4 linked regions of the Drosophila melanogaster genome follow. The protein of the gene in region 4 interacts with the protein of the main gene of each other region in a pairwise test. Each region holds a gene or a part of one and is shown on either strand. Other genes may lie near its edges.

Region 1 (4,747 bases), on a different chromosome or scaffold from region 4:
ATGGAGATGGAGCCGGGAGACGACAACGACGACGATGACTGCATCCGCAATGCAACTTTCTGTGTGAGATTTCCGCCTATTGCAGCTGCAACTGGCGACGCATCTGGTGGCCACATGGGGGTTTCCGGCCGGAGGGAGCGGCTCCTCCAACTTCTGGCGCATCTTCGGTGTCTGAATTTATTACGAGATTGCAAATCTCCACCGCGATTACAGCAATTATGTGGCTTTCGGTAGGAGGTTGGCACATTGCCCGAGGAACGTGCCCAGAGGTGTGGAATTAAGACTCTCGGCGGAAGGGGTAAAGAAAGTGATGTCGAAAGCTCTGGTCATGAAAAAGAAACGATTTTATAAAATTGATAAAAATTATATGTATTCATTAGTAAGCTGGGAATATTACCCCCCCCCCCCCCTTGCTTAAATATTAAGTATACGCCCCTGGTCGCTTACATGGCTCTCCTCTAATAACTCAATTTCAACACCAGCAAAAACAAATGTGAAAGTGCCAAAAGCCGCCTCCCCCCCTCTCTCTCTCACTCTCTTTCCCGTGGTAACCACCAATCATAGCCAAAAATCCCCAATCAGCTCAGCATCTGGCCCAGGTTTCGATGCACTCGAACAGATAGTCCGACCTCGCCACTCTAAGCCGCTTTAAAGTCCCACCATGGGCTGCAATAAAATAATATAAAATGAAATAAAGATAATTTGTCAGCTACTTCATTTGCGGCAGCGCGTGCGTGACTCGCGGTTGCCTGTTGCATAATATCTGCAGTTGAACTTTCCCAGGGGTTAGCACTCTCTTACCCACCAGTCACCACATCACACCAACCAAGGGGTATAAGTTCTATAAATCAAATATAAATATCAATATCAAACTTATAAATATATAAGTTCCTATAAATCACATAATCAGGCTGGGCCAAGCCTTATAGGAAATGCGTGGCAGTGCATTTCACTTGTTGCCATTAATAAATTAATTATACAACCATGACGGCACTGAGCTCAGTTTTATCCCCAGACGCACGCACTCTAAGCCCTCGTAAAAAATAAAGAAAAATGCACACAGATGGTAGGAAAACTTGTACATTTCGTTGTCATCAGCACAGCAACAGCGCATATTGTGCAAATGTTGATGGTCAAAAGTTGGCTAACGCCTTGGCCAAAGCCATGGCCAAAAAAGCAGCTCGAAATGCAGCCAGCTAAAAGACAAATATCAAGTGAGTGGTGAGGTTTTCAATTTTCAAAAGTCGAAAAAGAAATGCTCTGTTTGAAGAATATATATATCAAATATAAAGACAACTTTAATAAACTCTTAATCATTGGAATTTATAAAAAATGTAACAATTAATATAGGTAAAATCATTTTTGGCATCGTAGCACCTGTCTAATTTCCATTTATCCCCACAGATTTGGAATGCAAATGAATTTCCCCGAATAAATTGCAAATTCGACTTCCTTCTGAGCGTTGCAAATTTAATCAGCAGCTTATTATGCCCCACACATAAAAAAATAAAATTCAAAAAAAAAAGAAGGAGGAGAAAAAATATGGAAAATGCAACAGCAATACGCCAGACATGGCCGAGTCTTTTCGGCAAAGGCAAAGGAATGGAAATGGAAAATGGGAAAAGCGAGGCAGCGAAAAGCGAGCCAACAACAAACCGGCTGTCTCCGTGAAAACTGCGCGGCCCCGAACACACACAAAACTCAAGTGGCGCGAAAATTCGAGGCACAGTTGCAACAGCAGCGCGCAAGCGTGCGGTTTTCCTCCACAGTTTTTCCAGCCAAAAGTAAACAAGGCAAAGCGAAACGAAACGAAACGAAAACTCAAATTAAAAGTCGCATTAAATAAATGAGAAACGAACGAGGACTGCGACGAGCAAGTTTAAACAAAGCTCAAAGACAAAGTTGAATGAATATAGTCAAAGTTTGCTTTTCTCCGCAAAGGATATGAGAAAATCATTTTGTAAAAAAAAAAAAAATATAAAGAGCTTGCATTACATTTAACCAAAGTGCTGGCTAACAAGGATATAATATACCTTAAAATAAATTAAATCAAAAAAATATAAACGCATCAAGTTAAACGTCGAGCAAATTAATGAATATTTTACTGAATGACAAAAGTGAAACTTATAAGTGAAACATCTAAGGACGAATAACGAAAACGATTAGTTAGATAGTTAAATTTGTTAAATTAGATTTTATGGTCTTGTTTTATCTCAAAAATCTCTTAGTTACTAATGAAAAAGATTTTGGTAAAGAATATAAGATCAGAAATAATTCTCATTAAACATAATTCATTCATTTGTCATTCATTTGATTTTCTAAGAACAGGAATTTTTGAAATCGCAGGATACTATTTTTCTGCCTTCATAGTTTTAAAAAGTACTCATTTAACACAGCCTTTGCAGATGTGTCATCTGTTAAAGTACCATATAATGATTTTTGTTTTACTAATTTGTTAATTATGATGTTTCATAATTATGGGGAAATGTTTAAAACAGTTAATATGAGAATTTGAAAAGCACTTTTCGCAATTAGCTGCTGTGATAGTTAACCAAACTGAACGAATACTTTTCCAGGTCCGACAAACAAACAATAAGGTTCAACGCTGAACAAACTCATTTACAATTTGTATTTAAAATACCAAGACGGCGAAAAACAGCGTGGGAGAATAACAGAAATTTCAACAACAATTACAAATTGAGCTGCCACTTTTGTGGAAACGCGAAAAGTGCAACGTGCAACTTGACGCCTCATTTGCCCGAACTTCCGCCGACATCCAAGGAAAATGGAAATGGCTATCTGCGGCGGTGGCATCCCCACCTTAATGGTAAGTACATGGGGTCGGTTCGTTTCGGGTCGGGTTCATCATTCTGAAATTTTAATATAAATAACCGACAACTGCAAGGGCCATCGAGGCGTGAAAACAACAAGCGCCAGTGGAGAGACTTCGAGCGAAATTTCTGGGCGTGGGCCTGGGAAAAGTGTCGGCCTTCGATGCAGCGATTTTCATTTTCTGGCCAGGAAATGGACGCGGCCAGTCACTGCATATGGCGGGCTTCTTCTCATTTTCCTGGCGCACGCACATTTCGCAAGCAATTTATTTTCATTGCACTTGAACTTCAATTAGCCCGGAAACCAGCGAATACTGGCCAGACTTCGTTTAATTACCAGGCATTAAAATCATAAAGCGTATTCCAAAGTATCTTTGCTCAAAAATTCGTTATGCAACTGGCATTGATTGTTTGTGCTTTTTGGCCAAAACGCTCTCCATTTTATGACCCCGGTCTTTATGAAGGCCCGCTGTGGTTATCTAACCGAATCGACATTGGAATCCATATCCAACTGCCGGGACGAAAGGAAAATGCACCAGCAGCATTTGCAATCGAAACTGGAAATTTGCAATTTAAGTGGATGGAAAAAAAAAAAAAAAAGTTTGCGACCATTGCTGGCATTTCTTTTCAGCCAAGTTTCCTTGTGGCCCAGGAAGCACTCGTACCCCCAGCACTTTCTAGACCCGTAAAGTCTTTTATGTGCATTGAACTTGACTTTGCCGCCGGTTTTTGGCCAGGGCAAAAAAGACCAAACTGGTTCTAACTGCCACGGCCACTGCAGTTGGTAACTACCCACGTTGCACCACCCACATCTCACTGCCACATTAACAATTAGCCCAAGCTGTGCCTTTTGCCTGCCTGCTACCATTTCTTCTGCTGTCTCGACTCGCTCTCCGTCTTGGTCTTGCTCTTGGTCTGGAACTTAGTCTTGGCCCTGGGTCTTGGCCCACTCCACTCCACACCATACCACTCGTCTGGGTGGCACGTTTTTCCGGCTTGTTGCATACAACAAGAGACGATGCCGTAAGCGCATATTGCAGCCAACAATTAAACAAACTTGTGGCCAAACAGCAATTACAGAAACCATTTAATGAAGCAACCTGCTCGACATGAAAGAAAGCGAACGAGAACAATAAAGTCCAGAGGGAATGTGTTTGTATTGATTGGGTTAAAGACATGGAACTTTAGAGAAAAAATTATAAATAAATAAAAACATACACGAATCCAAAACTTAATCAAATCAAACAAAAGATAGTGATTTAGTTTATATTAACCCAAAACGAATTTCCACAAAATAAATGATTTTTCTAAAACTAATTGAATGCTGATACAAAAAACACCTTCTGTTTGCCCACTGAGATGTTGATTCCCTTGTAACTAAGAAGCCAGAAGATGATCAAAACTAATTGAATTGCTTTTACAAGTTTATCACCTCCATGCCATGCTGACTTTTATTATTGGTTATTTGTCTTGAAAAAATAAACCGAGTACAATAAAAGCCAGTTCAGCACTTTTAAACTGCCAGTACAATAAATACAACTTGTAAACAGCTGTAAAACTCGAAAGCCAAATGGTAAAAACGTAATTTAATCAAACTTTAGCTCTCGCAGCTCTCGCTGCAAATATTACAGTTTCAATTTCCCAAATAATGTCAAAACAAAAGAAAACTTTTAAAACGCCATGCAGATAGTAGTATTAGAAGTAGGAGTAGAAGTTGAAGTAGTAGTTTCGCTCCTTTTGCCTCTCTTAGCGGATCGTAAAGGAATTGTTAACTAGTTTTCGCAGCACTTCTAATGCCATAAAATCCGACTGAGCAAACTGAAACGAACGCAAATAGCAACAATTTTTATCGCTTCTTTGCATTGAGTTTTCAAACGAATCTAGCGCGTGTCCCATCTGAAATGAAAAGACACTTT
Region 2 (3,967 bases), on a different chromosome or scaffold from region 4:
TTTGTAACATTTCAAATGTATTCGATAAAATGCCATCGATATATTTCTGGTCAGGTAATAACATCGAATATCAGAAATTATGTAAAGATAACAACGTGCAGTTGGTGTAAACAAAAACAAGAAAAACGTAAACAGATCGGATTCATTACCAATCCATTTCCAGATTGAAAACCCATTAAAGACATGTCCGACGAGTACGCCTGCGTGGCCAAGGGCAAGCTTAAACTAAAGAACGATTCGGATCTCAAGAAGAAAAAGAAGAAGCACAAGGGCAAGGACAAGGAGAAGGAGCTGCAGAAGGCGTTCGTGGAGCAGCAAATAGCGGAATCGGGGGCCACATCCTCCTCCGCCACCAGTGGCTACGAGCGGAAGCTCACCAAGGCCGAGCTGGCCAGTAAGAAGCAGCAGGAAAAGATGCGCAACAAGCGAATCATGGACAAGGCACAAACCACCCACAAGGAGCGCGTGGAGAAATTCAACGAGCACCTGGACACGCTCACCGAGCACTTTGACATCCCCAAGGTGTCCTGGACGAAGTGAGGCGACGCCGCTCGTAACTTAAAGCATACATTTATTATAAGGTTAAGTAATTTCGACTACGTTTCAACCTGGAGCGCAGGAAAAGTGAGAGGGGAGGCCAAAATAAACAATCCAGATGGCACAACTAAGCTAAATACACAGGCATATGTAGTTACAACGTAAAGAGGGGTAGTTTCCAACTTTCAGTCCATTGTCCTTGGAGGGCTTTTGATCTTCTAGCGCGGTGCAATTAGCTCGTACATGGCGTACTTCCATGTCCACGCGCGCACCAGTTGCTCGAACCTTTCGCGCTCGTGCTCATAGATGTATCCAAGTTCAGGCTCCATGCAGACTTCGGTATACGGATCGGTCAGCAGGCTCTGCACAGAAAGCAGCACCTTGGCCACGTTCAGCGCCAGAGACCAGTTGTGCTGCTGGAAGATGTCGATGCCCACGTCCCCATGCCGCGAAACATTCGGATGCAGGATTTTGGTGAGGAAACGTACTGTGGGCGGCGTCATCGGATATCGCTCCGGGAAGTATATGAACAGGAAGAACTTGCCGCCTTCGTAGGGACTGCCCGGTGGCCCCAGAATTGTCGCCTGCCAGTAGTTGTTTTGCCGATCCAACGGTATGGCCGATATGCCCTCAGATTCGTAGCTGTTCAGCAGATTGGCTTCACCGCGCAGAAAGTTGTTGCGCATTACATTGCCCGGCTCCCGATCGCCCAGCTGTGGATCTGCCTCCTGTGCATCCTGACCCCGACCGCCCATCTCAATCAGGCAAGTGCGACAGAAGCAGGAAGACATCAGTGCCCCGTACAGCCGATACCAGTTTGGATTGTCTGCCAAACTGTCGAACAGCGGCCAGCGCTGCTTGATATACGCCTTCCACATGCTCTGGGCCGTGTTTTTCCCGACAATGTCGTGCCATTGCTTGCAAACTTCACTAGCCATCCACAGCGACATGTCGTCCAAATAGGCAAATATTTTCAGCATCACCTCGACGGGTATTATGTTGACAATGTTTCTGCTGCTGCCACTTGCTCCGCTTCCGCTGGCGGCGTTGTATTCATGCACTCGCGCCCTTCCATCGGCCAGCTCATGCATGTAATGGGGCAGAGCCAAGGGAGCCGTGGCCCGCGGACGCTTAATGGGCAGCAGGAAGGGATTAATGGCTCTCTCGTGCTCAAAGTCGCGCTCCGGAGACTCGCGTCGTGGTGCCGCAGCCTCCGGCACCGGCTGTGGCAGATCTATAACTGGTTGGGCTGGCTGTTGATCCTGTGGCTCCATTGGTGGCTGCGGATTTGGATGTTGTGGCACGGCTGCCGGTTGGGGGTCCTCCAGATCCTCAAAGCCCATGATGTCTACGTCGTTTTCGGTCTCCTCGTCTTCCTGCTTGTCCTTGAACGGCGGCTCGTCGTTCCCAGAATCCTCGTCATCGGAAAGCTCCGTGAGCAGCTCCTCCGCCCGCTGTGCGTTGTACAGGAAGGCGTGGCAGGCGCCGCACAACGGCTCCCCGAAGTTGGGCCCATAGTAGCCGTTGCACACCCAGCAGGTGTTACTATTCTGCAAATTGGAAAGGCTATTTATTAATCGGCCCGCAAGAAACTAGCCTATTGTATACATACCGAAAAAGAGAAGGTCGGCTCTACCAGCTGGTGGTGTTCCTGGTCCGGATCGTCCGGGTCGTCCATCTCGTCGCCACTGCTGGCCAGTTCCTTTAGCAACTGCTCCTGGTCCTTTTGCTGATGCGCTGGCACGCAGCTAGTCATTTTACAGAACTCCCGAGAAACTGGTGCTAAAACAAATAAATAATCGACAAACGATAGACCATCTAAAAGTGTTACCAAGTGGTGTTAGCTTCAAAACCTGTCAAACAGTGTTGTGGTTATCGGACTATTGGTCGGTCGATAACCGAATCAAAACAAGTGCTGCTAACTTCACACGTGCAGTTTATGTGATATTCATCAGCAAAATGAAGGCAAAAAAGAAGTTGGGTAGGTAACGTCGCTACGAAAGTAATTCTTTAAACGTCCGTTTACCCCGCCAATTATTTCAGGCGTGGGATTGAGCCGCCAGGAACGACAGGTGCTCGTCATCGGGGAGATCATTCAGGAGCTGCTGAAGGCGCACGAAGCCAAAAAGGATGTAAACCTTAATCGGATGAAATCATTGGTGGCCTCCAAATATGGACTGGACAGTTCGCCGCGCCTGGTCGACATAATTGCTGCCGTGCCGCAGGACGCCAAAAAAATTCTGCTTCCAAAGCTGAGGGCAAAGCCCATTCGCACAGCAAGTGGCGTAAGTCGCACTTGCTTACACAAGGCGTACTATTCATTTCAATTATTTCAATCCAGATCGCCGTGGTCGCCGTCATGTGCAAGCCGCATCGTTGTCCGCACATCAATATGACCGGCAATATATGCGTCTATTGTCCCGGCGGACCGGACAGCGACTTTGAGTACTCGACACAGTCGTACACAGGCTACGAGCCGACCTCGATGCGAGCCATCCGGTCGCGGTACGATCCTTTTCTTCAGACCCGACACCGCGTTGAACAGCTGAAGCAGCTGGGACACAGTGTGGACAAGGTGGAGTTCATCGTAATGGGCGGTACGTTCATGTGCCTGCCGGAGGAGTACCGCGACTACTTTATCCGCAACCTACACGACGCCCTCTCCGGCCACAGCAGCGCCAATGTGGCGGAAGCCGTACGCTACTCGGAGAAGTCACGCACAAAGTGCATTGGCATCACCATAGAAACAAGGCCAGATTACTGCCTAAAGCGGCACATATCGGATATGCTTAGCTATGGTTGCACCCGGCTGGAAATCGGTGTGCAATCGGTTTACGAAGACGTGGCCAGGGATACGAACCGCGGACACACGGTGCGAGCGGTGTGCGAGAGCTTCCAGCTGGGCAAGGATGCTGGCTATAAGATCGTGACGCACATGATGCCTGATCTTCCCAATGTTGACTTTGAACGCGACATCGAGCAGTTTATCGAGTACTTTGAGAACCCTGCCTTCCGCTCTGACGGCCTAAAGATCTATCCCACGCTCGTCATTCGCGGCACTGGTCTCTACGAGTTATGGAAAACCGGGCGATATAAGTCATATCCGCCATCCATGCTTGTGGACTTAGTGGCGAAGATTTTGGCCCTTGTACCACCATGGACGCGAGTGTACCGCGTACAGCGCGACATTCCCATGCCGCTTGTTAGGTAACTTGTCCGATATATATATTAAATAAACCTGACATTTTTCTTCATTTTAGTTCCGGCGTGGAACACGGAAATCTCCGTGAACTGGCGCTGGCCCGCATGAAGGATCTTGGAACCACTTGCCGCGATGTTAGAACCCGCGAAGTTGGCATTCAGGAAATCCACAACAAGGTGCGCCCTTACGAAATTGAGCTAATTCGTCGGGACTATGTGGCCAATGGCG
Region 3 (6,461 bases), on a different chromosome or scaffold from region 4:
CTTCCTCATTTCCAGGGAAAAAGAATTCACAGTTCCATATACATTTTTGTCCATTATATGAGCTCCCATTGTGTGATTCTGTTGCAGAATTTATGAATTTCTTCTTTAAATGGAGCGCTTTTCCATTAAGCTGCTGCAATTGAATCAGAATAAGTATCATACTACTGGTCTCTTTTAAATTTGTTAAATTGTTTAAGAATATCAAGTGGTGCCTTTGCCATAAATGAACTTTCACCTGGCAATGTTGGTTCAGTTGAACGTATTCGCACATGCTGAAGATTATGACACACAAAAGTTGGCAGGAAAGTTCACTGAAACTCCGCTTTTCCTTGAATGGCTATATGTAAAATCAACATTAAACTTGCTTTCTGGTAAAAGCCTTGATTTTTTTTTATCAAAATACAAAACGGTAGTACGAAATTCGGAAAACAAGTCAGCTTTCGTCTAAGTCCTTGTAGCATTTCGATACCTTGAAATGGTAACTTTCTAGGAATAATAATATACATATATAAATATTTAGATCTGAGAGTATTTTAAGAAAACTCTTCTTCTTTTTATTTTTACTTGTGTATTTTGGTTTTTACGTTGTTTACATCCCTGGTTGTAAACTTATTTATTTATAAATGCTGAATATCGAATTTAGAATGTGCTGATGGTTGTGAATATTCGATTTGCTTCACTGGTAATGGGCGAGTGCCTCCTTGTTAATAACGCCCGCATAACTGGTGTACTTCGGCGAGGTTCCATTGAGGGCGATGAACTGCTCCGCCACCTCCACGGCAACACGGACCTGCGCCTCCGAAGTGCTCGCGCCCAGATGCGGCGTGGCCACCACCTTGGGATGACTGATGAGGGCCTTGGTGACCGCAGACTTTGGCGGCTCCTCGGGATAAACGTCGAAGGCCGCGCCGGCCACTTTTCCGCTCTCAAGGCCATCGAGCACGGCCTGCTCGTCGATGATGCCGCCCCGGGCCACATTCACCACCTTAACGCCCTGTTTGCACTTGGCCAGTGTCTCCGCCGATATGAGATCTGATGGGATTCAGCAAAGAAATCTATATAGTTTAGCTTGAATTTTATGCATACTGCTGTTAAATGTTAATCTCTTAATCTCTTATAAATATTCTATCAATGCGCGACTTACTTCTGGTGGCTGGGATCAGCGGCGTGTGCACGGTTATGTAGTCCGCCAGTGGCCAAATCTCCTCCAGCGTCATCTTCTCGATGCCCGCCGCCTTGGCCTCAGCCTCCGTGGTGATGGGATCGTAACCAATAATCTGCAAAGCACTCAGAGTTCGATTAAAATTCCAAAATAAGTAAATACCCCATTCAAAACACACCCGCATGCCCCAGGTCTTCATCCGAATGGCGACCTCGCGTCCAATGCGTCCCAATCCGAGAACGGCCAGGGTTTTTCCATACAGCTCTGTGCCGGCATAGAGCTTCCTGTCCCAGCGACCCTCCTTCATGCTCTGACCGGCGGGGACGACGGGACGGGCCAGGGAGCCAATTAGGATGCACGTCAGCTCACAGGCCGAAATGGAATTGCCACCCGGAGTGCTGAAAGCGACGAGAGTTTAGTTAAACATTCCCTAAATGCCTCGCTAGACACTAGCTGTTGCGCTAAGTTGAGCGTTTCTGGTGGGCAAATGGGTGGCGTTTGTTGTGACTAGACAGCATTATGCAAATTCCGCCAAAAAAGAATTGAATGGGAGGTGGGAAATATGGCAATTTTCCAGCTTTCCAGGACATCTGACATGGATGTGGCCAACCCAGCACCCACCACCCACAACCCATAGCCACCCAAACACCCACGCAACTCCATCGACACTCGTCGTCCCTTAATTATGCGTGTCAAACGGCGTCAATTGACCCAAGTCATGGGTATTCTGGGCTGGGATGGCATATCAACTGCCAATCCTGCGATTCGGAATGCGCATAATTATTTGTGAGCTGCGCCATCGGAGATTACACTACGCTGCATACCATAAAACACTGCTAGTTTGAATACCCATGTTTATGATCATTATTGAGATTACCACAATTTTACTGAACAGTAATATTTCCTCGCAATTGATAAATCTGCCATAAAGGGCTACATAAATTCATTTCCGAGAACAACTAATTAATATTTTCGTTCCATAAATTAGAAACTGTTTAAAAATGCAAATAAATGAAATCGGAGCCGAAAATGGATTGAATTGTTTACCAACTTGAACTATAAACAGAATGGTAAAATATCCATGAAATATATTGCATGGCAAGAGCTCTAATTAACCATAAATAAGTACTTTGTACTGTTTGTACTTTCTATATCAGACTTTCAGCTACAAATACAAGTTGGTCTTGTGGCATAGTGTTCGTGGCTACTCTTTTCCCGCCCTGCAATGCACCGGAGGCTTACGGAGCACTTACTTCAGGACAACGACATTTTGCGCTGTGGCTGCGGGAACATCGATGTTGTCAACACCCGCCCCCGCACGGCCAACGACCTTCAGGCTGCCGGATCCGGCGGCCAAAACTTCCGCGGTTATTTTGGTATCCGAACGAACGATGGCTGCGTCGAAATTCTGAAATGCGGTGTAATTTAATAATTAGCAACTGGGTAAATATAAATATTTGTCATCTAATTGCCTAACTCATTTCCCTGGCCATCTGGATGGCATCGATTACTGCTTTCTTCTGGAAACGTGATTGATACCACCTAACACCTGTACTTTATCATAAATAAAAGCAATTCGTCTGGCGTATGTATGTTTCTGGCTAAGATTATTGAACCTCTTGATATTTTCCGGCAATTTGTGATCCTACTGGAAACAATTTATTTAATGTTGAGGCAACATCGTCTGATCGGCCGTTTGATTGATAAGAACTATTGGACCGATAGTAATAAATGGTGATAACAATGTCTGGCCCAATTGTTCACAGCAGATTATTGCCATTTAAAAGGAATAGTTTTTTTTATTTTGTAGAATAAAATCTGAAAGTGCATTTCGAAAAGTGGTTTAAAATGCTGGGCAGTTTAAAATGAACAATAGAGAATAATATAGTCGAGATACTCGACTAGCAGATACCCGTTATTTGGTTTGTGGGAGTGCGAACGAGCGAAATTACAAAAATTCTTTGGTATATCGATAGAAATTGTCAAAATTGTGGGCGTGGTAGTTTGCGTTCAGACGGGCGGACAGAAGGACGGACATACCGACTTGGCCAATGAATCTAATCAATAATATATATATAATACTTTATATGCTTTCCTGCTACCTGTTACATAAATTTCAAAGAATCTAACGGGTATAAAAACCATTTGGTTCAGACTAAATTCTTTTTCTCTCTGCGAACGTGAAAAAAAATTTGTTGTCAAGTACTTATTTTCTGACCCTTGCAATTTGCTTTTATGTTATTCAATAAAATCACCAATTAAAAGTATCCGTCTCTAAATCAAATAAAATTCAAAACATGCATTCGTGCCCATACAGACATGAAGCGGTTTAACTAATTGAGACAAACATGCTTGTCAAAATTTAAAGCTGTTTTCGTGCAAGAGAAAACAAATTTAAATAAATTATGAGAGTAATTGATTTTGATTTGAAGAAGCCACAAAATGTTTTTTTCTAGTTTTTGTTTATTTTATCTTTATAACTGCGGTGAAAATATTCTCTTAGCCATTAACCCAATAAGGCTTAAAGTTTGGAGACAAGGAAAATAAGATTTGTAAAAACATTCTATATTCCATAACAAAGATGATAATGTTAAAAAAAGGGGTCAATTCCTTATCATTAGTTTTAATTTTGTTAAATACAATCTCCATACTGCAGTAGTTTTGAAATATACTTTCGGTTTGATGTGCTTAGATTGCTTAGTTACAGACTAATTGAAATGTTATTATTATGTAACGCCCACGCGTACTATCATATATGTACACACACATATACAATGCACCCATATCTCAGAGCGTTGCACATGTTTTTAACCACACTTGAATCATTCGCAAAGCTTTCATCCCAGCGACTTAACTCGTTCATATACATCTGAACGTGTGTATGTATTTACTTATTTACCTGTACTGAAATCCCTAAGCCACTTACCTTAACTTCCTGACACAGTTCCTCCACGGGGAGCTTTAGTTTGTAGGTAACCTTGTCAAAAAAAAAGAAGGAAAATATATGGTCAACAACGTTGATTAAATTGTGCAATAAATTAAATGCACTTATTTTCTATTTGTCCACTTCTAAGCGCTTTTACATGCTTGCAAATTCACATACAGTGTGTACTCGATAAGTAAAAGCAATCGAATAGCTTAATTTAAATGAATTGCATTGTAGGCATAGACTTTCAAATATTTAATATCTTTTTAGTGTTAGTTTTCGTCGAAAAAACATTTTTTGTGTGGTTATACTTAGTTTAATTATTTGTATTTTTATCCGAGGGCGCACTGTACTTTTGAGCACTTGTATGGGTGTAAGCTTTTGCTTACTCCAACAAATAATCGACTGTCACGTCAGGGGATTGGCGAACCTTACCTTAATCCCATGCTGTTCCAGCAGCTCCACGCAGGATTTGTCCACAGCATCGCAGACCAGCACTTTTCTTATATTGAGGGGCATATTTGGGTGGGTAATGAATACACTGAAAAATCTGGACAACCGGTAGATTGCGTTAATTTTTGCCAATTACTTTCCGCAACTCACGATCTGCGCCGCCGAGCAAACAAATTGAACTGACTTCGAGAGTGGGTTTCTCGGGCCATCGAACCTGACTTCGAATGCCTCTCGCCGGTGCAGTGCGATTGTTGTTTTTTCTGGGTGATAACCAAACCACTGAGAGGATCGGAGAGCGCCACTTGGATCTTAAAGTTCTCTCCTTCTTCTCGCGCGATTTGTTCTTCTTGAGTGTGCGTGTGTGAGTTGTTTTCGATTTTTGCACGCAAAACAACAATTTTAACCCACGGACGACCCTGTGATTAAAAATGATTTAAAAATTTCAGCTTTTGTAAAAAAATATGGCAAGCTTTCTAACTTTAATTGTATTATGCATTTATTTACTTTCTAATAGGGTTCAAAAAAAAGTACTTACCCATATAATCAAACTCACGCCGAATAGATAAGACTGCATTTATTTTTAATATTTTTATTGTATTTGCTTTTATTTGCAATTTAGCTTTCATTTAACTACGTATTTTCCAAAAACATATTGTGAACAACATTTGAATGCGGAAAATGAAAACGAAAACAACAAAATGTCGTCAAGGTGATGGCAGGTATTCATCCTTAACATTAAATTAAAGGAATCTTACAAAGTTGTTAACAAAATAATTAGGTAACAAATTGAAATATCATTAACTATTTACATACAATTTTTGAAAATTGCTGATTGGATTTTAGTTACCGTTTTTCTCATTTTTTACAATATGTATATGTTTTGTATGTATAAAATATTCTATATAAATTGGGAGCGGTGTTGATATTTCCACCAATAGTTCATTTTTATCTTTCCAGGGTATTCGGTGTGGGGATCTTTGGTTAATAATATATTGATTACGGAAATTTCATGCGTGCTCTTGTCAAATTTTCCACCTTCTATTCCAGTTCAATAAGTTATTTAGGCTAAAAAAATAAGGTTTGCTTTTCTTATTTAAGTGGCTTTGAAAAGTAGAGAAGTTATTACCGCTAAATTTAATTATATATAGGCGTATCTTTAAAGTTTCAGTATGCTTGCTATAAAACTTGTTTGTATGTTTGTGTTTTTTTTTTATAGTTTTCAAGAGTGTCAACAAATCGAAATTGCTTGGTTTGGTTTTCATTTGTTTTATTATAATCGGAAATAAGAGTTTATTATTACAAAAAAATTGCTATACTTTTGAAGCAAACCAGTTTTACTTCTTTGCAGACCTCTGTCCGTCTGCTAGAAGGTTATGTAATGGAATATATGAATTTATCAAGTTTAGTTTTCGAAAACTTTCAAAGAACTTGAGTTGAGAAATTTAAGGCATCTTACAAAATATCTTCAACATATTCCTATCAGATCTGATGAAATTTTCATGGCAAAGTTCACCTTTCCGTTACCAGAAAGTATCTAACAATATCTGGGATAATCAGTTATTTTTTAATCAATATTATTTTAATTAGTTTTTGGATTTCACGCTTACAAAATGCCGGCTGATGTATCTTTATCGGTTTAAATTTTGTTAATTATGGCAAGAACATACATACATATTTATATATGCAGCTCTATAAATGTGTGTATCTTTTTTAATATATACCATTATAATATATTGAATTACCAGTTCTGTGAATTATGTGCAATATTCTAACATACACACTTCTCATCAACTGACCATTTAAACTTAAGTTTTCCGCTTGTCCCCTTCTTAGCTGCAAAGGATCGTATCTAGTTTTGTTTTTAACTTTATGCTAGTATTAAAAAGTAATATTTCATTTAGGTTTAGCTAATACATAGAT
Region 4 (4,559 bases):
TGGTTATTATTTAAAGCTCACGAATGTGCTACTTTAAAAACCTCAAAAACCTGAAGAATAAAGTTTGTTTTTCGTTCTGTGGTGTCGCCTGGCAAAATGTTGTCAATAAAAGGCGAATTTATGATAGAGTATAAATATGCTCATGGGACAGCACAGTCAAACGACTTAGCAAACTGCAATAACAATTCTTTGTAAATATTTTCTTCCTTTGGCTGAAAGCGTCCAGTCCTTGAAAGGACGTGGGCCAAATTGCATGATTATAATGATCGTCCCAAAAACGTTGTTATCGCTATTGCTGCTGTTGCAATTACGTTTGCGGCTCTTTGAGCGGCTGCCAAGCGTTGGCCATTTAACTGTCTTTTTTATTCGTTGCCCAAATATTATGGTAACAGTACCTTATGGTAAAGTACCTTTCCTATGCTTTTGACTGCTAACTACATAGTCATCGCAACTTTTGCTCTTCCAATCAATGTAAAGTGGCTTGTGTAAGCTTTGGTGACCTTTTATGCTTATTTTCTAAGCCCAGCAGAAATTGGCTTTAGAATTTCAAAGGAATCTGAAAATATGAGGAATGGATGTCGAAAAAATTCAATAAACTTTGACTAGTACTCTCATAAAATGACGGTCGATTGAATTGACAACCCATAACATTAAATATGCCAAAACTTTCCAAACTTTCGTAGGAAACTTGTATTAGAAAACTAAAAGTACTTTAATATTCGCCAGGGAAATCTTGTAGATGGCTAAAATTTCAAGTATCTACTTTAATGGAAACAAATACAACCCCATTTCAAGCCACGTCGTTTGGTTGCGAAGCTTCTCTCATATTTTATCGCTCCTTAGGTATTATAATATGGCAAAGAAAAAGTTTCTGTAGACCGAAAAACTTGTCTATAGAAAGTTTAATTTGCTGCCACCCGCCAACAAAACGCCCAAGGACGGACATTTGGGCGGTTCGCTGTGGTCATTGGCTTTGTATGAATTACAATCGATACTTGGCGGATGGGGGATGGTTATCTATTCGTCTGTGTCTAAACCGAATATGGTTTAGATCGCCACCGAAGCGGCAAATAAGCAATTATGCTGTGTGTAACATTTCCCATACGCAGCATAACTTTGAGTGGCAGCCGTACGCGGCGTATGCGCAATATTTTCCAGTTGCCTGTGGCTTTGCCATAACAATGCGGCTTTTCTCTGAAATTGTTCGCATTGTATTGCAAGGGTTTTTGTTTGTCGGTTCTGCATTATACCTAAACAGGAATTTATATATGCGAGCTACACATACACACTCTGTCTTTCAGATGCTTTCTAGCCTCCACTCGGCAGCCTGTCTTGTGCCATTCATTCATTCATTCACTCATACAGTGAGTCTCTTTTTCACCGACTCACGGCGCAAAAGTCACCCAAGTGGTAATTAAAATTATAGCAACAATGCGACGTCTTCTTGGCCAAGAAGATGATGAAGAGGATGAAAAAGCCGCTGGCTGACACAGAAAGCGAAGCCGAAACGCTGTCGTTTGCTAGTGTTTGTACAGGCACACACGCTAACAAGTTGCGGCTGCTTACATATTTGCTAGGAAAAGGACACACAAGACATACACAGCCCAGCTTTGACTTCTTGAAATATTTATGAGTGCCCGCCAACTCGACCCAAAGACGCTGGTGACAAGCCAAGAAGAGCCCGAAACAAAAAACCAGTGAAGTGATTGTCACAAACCCGGAAAATACTATATGCACTAAGTCACCAGTCTGCAGAGTTTGGCGCTTTAAGTGTTGCAAAAATTATTTTTCACTTTTAGACTTTTTGTTTATTGATATTAAACTGCAATATATGCGTTCATCACACTTCAATTTTAAATGTATTTTTCAAAATTAAAGTAATAAGAGAATGCACATATAATGTTCTATATTTTCAATTGGCAATAAAGGGGATATATTTTGTTGTTTCAATTTTGCACTCAACAAAAAAATAACCCCAAGGGTTATCCTTCTTATGGGGCAAAAATAATAGATGCCTATCTATCTATATAATTTTTATCAAATGGCAAGATTTCTACGTACTTAAGCCTATTACTTTTGTAAAACAAGATTAAATTGTTTAAGAAAGTAGTTCTAAAATGTGAATTCTTGTATATTTCTAGACAGTGAAACTGGAAGCTAACTAAGCAACATAAAATAATTAGACAACAACATCGTTCCATTATTTTCGGCCATAGGGCATTTCCTTTTGCCAGCATCTACATTTTACAAATATGTCGCATGAAAACCCAAGGGGTTAAGCTCCGCATTTCGAGGTGAAAATTTACATGGGCCTCGAGATGATCGTTTAGCACATCATTAAAAATGTGTTGCTGTGCAGAAAGTTTCGAGTGCTCAGCACTCTGGGGTGGCAACCGCTCTCGAGTGGCAGAAATAAATAATTAAAATATACAAAAATGCCGACCAGAAGAGCACACAATTCCCGCCAAGGACGAAGGTTAATGCGTGGATTCGTGGCGGTGATGTGGGTTGAAATCTGGCATCAGTTTCACTGGCCTGCTGACAGGGCAACTTCACCTACCTTCAATTATTTACGGTGTGCGGTGTTCCGTCCACCTGCTTAATGCATTTGCAGCCTCTCGGAATTTTCCCAGCTGTGGAAGCAGCAAGTCCCAGGATTAATTAGTACTGAGTCCCAGGACTTTCAGCGAATCAAAGATTCTGCGGCGTGGGTATAATGTAATTAACGTGTGTTTTCCTTGGCTTCTACGCAGTTGAAGCTGCAAAAATGGTTGCAAGTGTTTTCTTTGCATAAACTTACACACACAAAACACGTCCTTCGATTTTGGTTCACTGGTTACGCGCTAACATTCACAATTTTCAGATGCACGATTGTTTTTTATGCAAGTAAACGACAAACAGTATGTTTTACTTTTTAAATAATTTGTTGCAGCGGAAAATGGAAACGTTTTTCTCTGTGGCCAAAGAAAATTTGTTCCGCTTTTTTGCGTCGCAGTTTCGCTTAATTAACAAAGTCGACGACTGAACGAAATGTCCTTTTTATACACACTTGTTCGCTTTTACCTTGCTCAAGTAAAAGCTTTCGGCTCTCTCCCGCTCTCTTTTGCCAGCTTTCTCTCTCTCAACGCGCTTTGCTCTCACTTTTTTGAATACCCTGTATGCAGTGAGGGGTATGATGAAGTACTTTTCAGCTAATTTTTAATGAAATGGTTTTTTGGAGAGTTTTGTTTTCTCAGTAATGACCATACGTTCCTATAAATATATATACTTTAGATAATACATTGTATTTTTCTGTGTTTTAATACAGAATTATACAATGAAACAAGCCACTGATTGTTGCAACCCCATTTTTTATAACTAATTAGTTATTCATTTATTATGTATTAAATTATTTCAAAATTAAATGTTAGCATCTTTGTAAGTTTAATGGTATTTTGAATATTGTAAACCTTTCATATAAAAGCTCTGCTCTTACAAAGCTCTTTCTCTCTCGCTCTCTCTGTAACTCTATCGCTGTGTTACAGCAGAGAAACAAAACAAACAACAGAGCGGAGCGGATACGGAAATGGTGCAGGCCAAAGACTGATGGCCGACTGATTGTGGCCATGTTGTCTGCCCTCCGTCTCTGTGTGTGTGTGTTTTTGTGAAGGTATAGATTTATCAGTGTTAGTGTGGGTGTTCATGCAACGCGAGTGGCAAGCCAGCTGGGAAAAATACTATGCAGAGCGTACGCAACGGGAGCGCAGCGAGAGATTTTTGCGGCCCATTGAGTGTGAATTAAGAGATGCCGGCTTAGTGCGAATCCTTGCTTATACATTTATGGTATTCTTTTTTGTTCCTCAGCTACACTGCATATATGGATCCATGTATGCCCTCGAGTGGCGGATGCTGGAGGCAGCCCGACGAGGATGGATGCTGGGTACTGAGTACTCCTATGAGGTTTCCGCATTTCGCTTTTCAGCATTTTTGTGGCATGCTTTTGGGGGAGGAACAAAATTAAATCTCCCTGGTATTGGTGCAGTAAATATCATTTTTAATCTGAATATTAAATATTGTGATGTGTAATGCAAAGAATGCCATTTTGAACTCTTGAAAAAATGTGCTTGTGCTGTCCTTCAACTACGGTCCTTGCACATTTGCAACAATCAAAAAGGTCAAGGGATGATTGGTGCAATAATTTTTGTTTAAGCAGTGCTCCAAAAACTTCCATTACAATTTCCGACTGTCATAAGCTGAATTAATGCTATTCCTAATTTTTTTTGCAGCTAGCATTAATCCCTAAGCGGCCATTAGATTGTCAGCAGAAAAAAGATCTACAAGCATTTGTGTTATTTAACTCGTTCCACTTTTCCATTTCGCTTTTCTATTTGGGCGAAAGCGCGAAAAACTCATTCCAGTCAGCATAAATGAAAGCTTGCGTTTGTTTCCGAAAAAAGGGAAATTTACGTTGGCAGTTGCAATCCCGTTTTGCGTGTTGCAAGGGATTCCGCACGATTTCCTGTTCGCCACGGACACTTTGCCTCCCACAAGTCCTGCCACACCAAACATCACGTCCTTCG

The links.
Region 1: the proteins of CG14853 (region 4) and Cpr50Ca interact in a two-hybrid assay, tested with the Drosophila melanogaster proteins (one large-scale study listed by BioGRID).
Region 2: the proteins of CG14853 (region 4) and morgue interact in a two-hybrid assay, tested with the Drosophila melanogaster proteins (one large-scale study listed by BioGRID).
Region 3: the proteins of CG14853 (region 4) and CG6287 interact in a two-hybrid assay, tested with the Drosophila melanogaster proteins (one large-scale study listed by BioGRID).

What each region holds. Positions count from the first base shown.
Region 1 is NT_033778.4:13,768,190-13,772,936, forward strand, and holds the start of Cpr50Ca (cuticular protein 50Ca), read left to right. Parts: upstream 1-1,725; 5' UTR 1,726-1,784; intron 1,785-2,576; 5' UTR 2,577-2,785; coding exon 2,786-2,827; intron 2,828-4,747.
Region 2 is NT_033779.5:4,442,315-4,446,281, forward strand, and holds morgue (modifier of rpr and grim, ubiquitously expressed), read right to left. Parts: upstream 2,367-3,967; 5' UTR 2,294-2,366; coding exon 2,150-2,293; intron 2,088-2,149; coding exon 756-2,087; 3' UTR 556-755; downstream 1-555. Other genes in the region: CG15432 (uncharacterized protein), read left to right, coding at 184-540; Elp3 (elongator complex protein 3), read left to right, coding at 2,497-2,518, 2,581-2,822, 2,879-3,744, 3,798-3,967.
Region 3 is NT_033779.5:11,150,995-11,157,455, forward strand, and holds CG6287 (uncharacterized protein), read right to left. Parts: upstream 4,728-6,461; 5' UTR 4,608-4,727; coding exon 4,524-4,607; intron 4,140-4,523; coding exon 4,089-4,139; intron 2,571-4,088; coding exon 2,416-2,570; intron 1,561-2,415; coding exon 1,341-1,560; intron 1,278-1,340; coding exon 1,145-1,277; intron 1,033-1,144; coding exon 677-1,032; 3' UTR 512-676; downstream 1-511.
Region 4 is NT_033777.3:14,608,109-14,612,667, reverse strand, and holds the start of CG14853 (uncharacterized protein), read right to left. Parts: upstream 3,027-4,559; 5' UTR 2,561-3,026; intron 1-2,560.